2 linked regions of the Arabidopsis thaliana genome follow. The protein of the gene in region 1 interacts with the protein of each later gene in a pairwise test. Each region holds a gene or a part of one and is shown in the gene's direction. Other genes may lie near its edges. The genes, in order: AT1G75490 and AT4G00130.

What was found.
Region 2: the proteins of AT1G75490 (region 1) and AT4G00130 interact in a two-hybrid assay, tested with the Arabidopsis thaliana proteins (one large-scale study listed by BioGRID).

The regions. Positions count from the first base shown.
Region 1 is NC_003070.9:28,333,665-28,337,805, forward strand, and holds AT1G75490 (Integrase-type DNA-binding superfamily protein), read left to right. Parts: upstream 1-1,837; 5' UTR 1,838-2,380; coding exon 2,381-3,001; 3' UTR 3,002-3,326; downstream 3,327-4,141. UniProt on the Arabidopsis thaliana protein: Putative transcriptional activator that binds specifically to the DNA sequence 5'-[AG]CCGAC-3'. Binding to the C-repeat/DRE element mediates high salinity-inducible transcription.
Region 2 is NC_003075.7:46,213-49,659, forward strand, and holds AT4G00130 (DNA-binding storekeeper protein-related transcriptional regulator), read left to right. Parts: upstream 1-1,901; 5' UTR 1,902-2,201; coding exon 2,202-2,294; intron 2,295-2,364; coding exon 2,365-2,856; downstream 2,857-3,447.

The DNA.
Region 1 (4,141 bases):
TCAAATTTTTAACCCTTAGATTAATTTTATGATTTTTGTTAGAATATTTTTATTATGTAACTTATTTTTTAATTATATTTTATATTATGTAAAAGTTTTTATTACATAAAATATTTTGGTTTTCAAAATTTCTAAATGTTGAATTTTAATGAATTGAAAACAAACTGAACTAAGTATCACGTCTCATCCTGAAAGTCCGTTATAAAATTAACTCTTACATTAACTTTTATGGTTTTTGTTACAAAAATTTTTATTATGTAAACTTTTTTTCTTTACTTTATATTTTTGATTATGAAAATGGTATTTGAAAAGTTCAAATAAAAACCATTTTCAAATAATCTAAGTGATTGTTAAATTTCAATGCAATAAAAACTTCGTTAATATTACTCATTTACAAAGCTTCGGTTTTGCCGTTTTGGTAACCAATCTCAAAAGTCAGAAGTTATTTGCTAGAAAGACGAATCAAACACAGTTGTATCTTTTGAAATGATCTAATTCCAAAAAGATAAATTCAACAAGGGAAATCATGCAGGCTCCCTAAATGTAAATCAGAGTTACAAAACAAACACACACGACGACGAGTAACGAGTAAACTTCTTAGAAACGGGATCTTGGTTGTGTAAAAATGTAAACCTCGTCGAAACCCCTCCTGCAAGATTGTATGATCCAAAGACATCGTTAAAGGACATCATTGTCAACAACGAAAAACAAGAGAATTGTGCAAAGACTGTCCTTAGTGGCTTTACCCTGCGTAGTAAGTAGGCTTATAGTTGTATATGAGATTGCTCAGCACTTTCTTAGATGGTGTCTGTTCAGTGACGTCCTAGCTTCACTGCACCACATTCAACCGCAATCCATTGAGAAAACAAAAAATGTTGTTGGGAAAACTGTGAAAACGTTGATGAGGGTGATCTTACATTCTTACCTGACTAAATAACTAGCAGCATGCTGTGTCACCTGGATTGCATCCTCAGAGTGTGGAATCGCAGATGATCCCCATTCAAATGCATTTTTCTACAGAGAATTAATTTAGTGCATTAAGAGCTTTGTTTTTTTAGCTGTCAACACAGAATATAGTACTAGAAATATAAGTTTAATTGCATATCTTCAACATTTTTTATATTGTGGATATGTTAAAGTTATATAAGCAGACATCGGAGTCAAATCCATCATAACAAATTCCCAATCGAACAAGATAATTCATACTAAGTATCTCACTATTTTCTCGATCTACATAAATCATCTTCATTTCTCTTGCTAAATTTATTTTTTCAAAAAAAAAAAAATCCAAAACAAATTAATGGATTTTAGTTGCAATTACATTGATTTGGTAAATTATGTTTTGCAATTTCCATAATAATCTACTTGACATTGAACGACTTCAAATTTTTAAAAAGTTCTATCTGAGAATACTAGAGATAATATTTAGAACAAAAAATAAGTTAGATAAATTGGAACCGGAGCTTTGTAGTTATCGGTTAAAAAGGCCGCCTTTTCACGTGTGTCTCGGCCACAAATGTTCTAAGACAGAGAAGTAAGATTCAGTGAACTTTGTTTGTCTCTTATCGAGGAACCTTCGGGTCCCGTACGTTTAATTTGCGTGGACATATTGCCGCCACATGACTGACCCTTACACACATTCATACTTGTACTTTGCTATAATTTCCCACGTGGCAATTAAAAAGCCTGGAGAAATGGATAACATCAAGAAAGAAAATGGTGACTCTATGAACGAATTAAAAAAAAAACTACAATTCTTTCTCAATGTTTATGCATTAGATGATGATTCTTTTTTTACAAAAGGAGAGATTACATGACTCATAGAGAAAAGCTTTATAAATCTAAAGGCTTTTTAATTAAAAAAGTTTGTATATATAAGAAAAATCATGTATTTTTTTCTTTCTTTTTAGCTATTTGAAATTATAATTAAGTTAAAGCCATAGCTTGATTTTGTTTTCTGATGAATAAAGCCATAGCTTGATATTAGATAGAAGCATTCACATGACGAGCCATTAATTCATAGTGATAAATCTTTTTATATTTCCCCAATCGCGGATGACCTTATCCATATCTCTCTCTCTCTTTTCTTTTTTTTTTTGGAAAAATCTCAAACTCATCAATCTCTCTGCTGGTTTTACGATTACTGTTGCCAAAAAAAGAAGGGTCTCTCGAGACAAGTGTTAGGATTACAAACACAACACCAGCTTCCTCCTCTCGACACGACCCTCCGTCATGTCTGCGCCAGCTATATCTTCTCCTCGCCACGTTTCATCACTCTCTTCTAGTATATATACACACCTAACCATTACCTCATGTCTTTGCCTTATCACTCACCAAAAGTCGTCACATAATATCACTTTCGAGTTATCAACATCCGTACATGTCATCCATAGAGCCAAAAGTAATGATGGTTGGTGCTAATAAGAAACAACGAACCGTCCAAGCTAGTTCGAGGAAAGGTTGTATGAGAGGAAAAGGTGGACCCGATAACGCGTCTTGCACTTACAAAGGTGTTAGACAACGCACTTGGGGCAAATGGGTCGCTGAGATCCGCGAGCCTAACCGAGGAGCTCGTCTTTGGCTCGGTACCTTCGACACCTCCCGTGAAGCTGCCTTGGCTTATGACTCCGCAGCTCGTAAGCTCTATGGGCCTGAGGCTCATCTCAACCTCCCTGAGTCCTTAAGAAGTTACCCTAAAACGGCGTCGTCTCCGGCGTCCCAGACTACACCAAGCAGCAACACCGGTGGAAAAAGCAGCAGCGACTCTGAGTCGCCGTGTTCATCCAACGAGATGTCATCATGTGGAAGAGTGACAGAGGAGATATCATGGGAGCATATAAACGTGGATTTGCCGGTAATGGATGATTCTTCAATATGGGAAGAAGCTACAATGTCGTTAGGATTTCCATGGGTTCATGAAGGAGATAATGATATTTCTCGGTTTGATACTTGTATTTCCGGTGGCTATTCTAATTGGGATTCCTTTCATTCCCCACTTTGAGGTGTCACTAGACTCTCTTTAATTGTTAAGTTATCATATACAAACTACATATATATACAAATATAGTCACCGTGAACTAGGATATATATGTAAATAAACACCAGTTACATGTACTTATATATGTGCACATCTATATATGTGGTTTGTCTGTATAGTGTGAAAGCAGATTCTTACCATATCAAAAAAAACATAAAAACGACAGTTGTTTGTCTCGAAGCTAAAAATGTGTCATGGGGAAAACTATTAAATCAAGTGCAATGTATCTGTATAAAGAAAACGGGATGTTACGTTGTGTGTAACGGTCAATGTGTAACTATTATATGTCTCTGTTTCTATGGGCTTTTAAGTCTTTGACTATTCTCTTGGTTTTCTTTGCATCTTCTTCTTAGCTTCTCTTTGTACTAACGTGTAATCCTCGCGAGTCTTGATAGACTATATGGCGTGGTTTATAACAAACCTGGCCCGTTTATTCCGGCCCAACATCATTATATCTCGGCTTATATATGGTCTCCAGTCTCCAATAACGGGCTATATATGATTTAACTAATGGATTCAAATACGAAATCTTGAATCCACATGGTAGACTAACCTATGCCAGATAACGATTATGAGACAAAGTCGCTTATGCACTGTGTTTTTCCTTATGTATATGAATTTCTTTTGTTAATGAAATTTATTTGTATAAGGTAAATAAGATATGAAATTCTGTTAATGAACTTCTTGTTTACATCAAATTAAAAGATGATATTTTATATGTAAAAAGCTGACGTGTAAGCTGATCCGAGAAAACCAAGAAAGATAATGTAGAGCATTGAAGTGTATATGTGAAATTTTTAACACGTTCTCCTTAAAATAATGCTTTTATCCGTCTATTTCAAACAAAATTCTAATATTGGACCAAAAATTATATATCGAACAACACATCTTTCTCAAGTTAGCTAAACTTTAATACCATGTTAAAATCTATGGACTTTCAACTCAAGAATTGGTCCATACTATAACTTAGTTGGTCCATATTATATTATATATATTAAATGTTGGTTTATTTTTAACTTGTTCATTCGGTTAAGAATTTTTATTGGATATTTGATAATAAACTAAATTTGTAAAAAAAAACTGTTTCTTTAAGAGATCATTTTA
Region 2 (3,447 bases), on another chromosome or scaffold:
GGATTACACACTTTCCAAAACGATAATTTTTTAATTGAATTAACCCCTAATTAAAATTAATAACCAATCAGATTAAGATACCATTTACAACCAAATCTTCTATTTTCCAAAATTTTAGTATGATTTTTTTTTGGAAATAAATAAATATTCCCTATCCCATTAGTGGCCATCAGTTGTCATTTTTTGTTTCTCCAAAATCATAATCTTCGGCGACAAACAATGATTAGATCTTCATTTTTACGATCATGTTAGTGATTTAATGGACTTGTTAGTGATTTTGTCTTCATTTTATATTATGTTAGTGATTTTTATCGACTTGTTAGTGATATTTTTTTTCCATTTTTACGTGCATGTTAGTACTTTTTGAGGGGACGGGTAGAAATCACTAACATAAACGAAAAATGAAAAAAAGTTTACTAACAAGTCGGTTAAAATCACTAACATAAACGTAAAATACAGACACAATTACTAATAAGTCGATTAAAATTACTAACTTTAACGTAATAATGAATAAATAACTGTTTTTTGTTTCGATTTTTGTCATCAGAAATTATGATTTTCTATTCGATTTTTGTCGTCGGAGATTATGATTTTGTAGACGCAAAAATGAAAACTGATATACACTAAGCTACTAACAAGATTATAAAATTGTTTATATAATAATTTCCTTAAAACAAATCTAACTCAAAATAATGCATATTATAATTTTTAATAGTTATTTAAAGTATATATATAACTAACCGGAAAAATAACCGTATATAGTTTTACGGAAATTTACGATAAAAGATACAACCGAAGAAAATCAACCGCCAATATTAATGAAAAGTCACGACAAAAAGTAACCATTAATATTTTAATAAAAAATTGTGCTAAAAAATACAACGGATAGATAACAGTCAATAAGATAACAGAAAATAACGATAAAAAGACACTAACAAAAAAAGTGTCAATTAATATTTTAACGAAAAGTTGCGATGAAAAGACTCAACAAAAAAAATAACCATCAATATTATAACCGAAAGTTGCAATGAAGAGACACAACCGAGGAAAAATAACCATCAATATTATAACCGAAAGTTGCAATGAAGAGACACAACCGAGGAAAAATAACCATCAATATTTTTACAAAAAGTTGTGATAACAACACAAACAAAAAATAACCGATAATATTAACGAAACATTACGATGATAAACACGAAAAAAAAAAACCCCATCAATATTTTAATGGAAATTTGCGATAAAAAGATAAAAAAAAACAAAAATAATCGTCAATATTATAACGTAAAGTTGCAATAAAGAGACAACCGAGGAAAGTAATCATCAATATTTTTATGAAATTTGTGATCAAAAGATACTAACAGAAAAAATAACCATAGATGTTAACGAAAAGTTATTATGAAAATAGAAAAATGAAAAGTTACGATAAAAAACACTAACAAAAAATAACCGTAAATGTTTACAGAAAGTTACGATGAAAAGACATGAATGAAAAAAATAACCGTCAATATTTTTTACGGAAAATTGCGATTAAATACACAACCTTTCAGAGTACAAAATGCATTTATTGAGATTGTTATTTATTATATTTTTTTTGTAAACTAGCGAGATTGTTATTATTAGTCGAATCAATATTGTAGGAAGAAGACCTAAAGACAAATTCGGAGGTCAATTAATAACGCGTTAAAGTATGTGAGGCACGTTCGAGTGGAATAGCGCGTTGGACAGCCCAACATGAATGAATGATCGACTTTTATTGAAAAAGCAAAACTAGGGCAAGAAAACGAAACGTCCACATTAGCCTATAAAATCACTAAACCTAAGAGCAAAGCACATTCACGGCGACTGGAAAGTAGAAAACCTTATTGCTTCCCGCAGATCTCTCTCTCTCTCTCTCGTAACTGTTTGTTCGATGGCACTGAAGAAGGCGGAAGAAGTGATCGAGAGCCCTCCTACTTCAAGTGAAGAAGAGGAATCTGGCTCATAATCTGAGTCTGAAGGCGAAACTGAATCGGAGCCCGAGCCCGAGTCCGAGCCTGCTAAGACGATCAAGCCGATGCCTGTCGTGACCAAACCAATTCCAGAGACGTCCGCGAATGTACCTGAGACTTCAACGGCTAAGCGTCCTTTGAAGGAAGCTGCTCCTGAAGCTATTAAGAAGCAGAAGACATCGGAAGTTGAGCATGTGAAGAAGCCGACAACTAATGATGAGGTTAAGAAGATTGCTGGAGAGGATGCTAAGAAGATGTTGTTTCAGAGATTGTTCAGTGAGGCTGACGAAATCGCTTTGCTTCAAGGTTTAATCGATTTCACATCTACCAAAGGAGATCCTTATGAGATATTGATGCTTTTTGCATTTATGTGAAGAAACTGATCGAGTTCGATGCTACCAAAAACCAAATTGTTACTAAACTTCAGAGGTTGAAGAAGAAGTTTAATAACGCTGTGAAGAATGCGCGTAAGAAGGGTCAGACAGAAGATGAGGTCGAGTATGCTAAAGAGAGTGAGAAAAAACGTTTTGACTTGTCCATAATGATTTGGGGGAGCAACGGTGTTTTGGTTGCTGGTAAATCATCAAAGAAGAAAGTTGCACCCAAAGAGATGAAACCTGAAGAAACAGACGCAAAGGTTGTGAACGAAGGTCTCTCCATTGGTAGAGAGATGGTGCCGTTCGGGAGTTCTTGTGGTTTGGATGAATCTAAATTAACTACGGGTTGGGAAAATGTTGAGGATGGAGCTGAGAAGAGAGAAGTGGAGGAAAAATGGAAGAAGTTTAAGGATAAGCTGTTTGAGCTACTTTACGAGAGGTCTGTGCTTATGAACAAAACTGAAGCGATGATGTTCAAAGCTGAATCTTGAGCGGTTTGTCTTTTTATTTCTTATTATGCATTTTGAGTCTTTTTGTTAGCTTGTGGAACTAAATCCTTATCTAAGTCTTTTTCGTATTTTCTTTATGCCCCTATATAATGTTGGATGTTTGGTTTGGGTATAAAACCCTTTTATTTATTATTCTTGTTCGGTTTCTATGATATTAGACAGAAGATGGATTAGCCCTATTAGTTCTTCGACTTGTCAATGTGTGTTATCATATGCATACCTTGTGAAGTTCAGCTGGTGTTGGACTGCACTGTTAAGAGGCAAAATTCATAATCATATGTGTTAGCAATTTACATATCGATAAGATACCAGAATGGTACATGTCCCGAGACCCGAGTTAATGTTCTGCTTGATCGAGTTTCTACTGCTCTCCATGTCGTGGAGACATAACAGCGTTTTGTCACATTTTTTCCACAACCTGTTACAGTGTTCTGTGAGCTTTGATCTCCAGTCGAACATGAAAAAAACAACGTACTAAATAGTTGAGGCATGACTGTATTAAAAGGTCATAGTTCTCCTTATCCAAATCTTTTGTTTGTTTCGATTTTCTAGCCGGACATTTTTGCTTAGGAG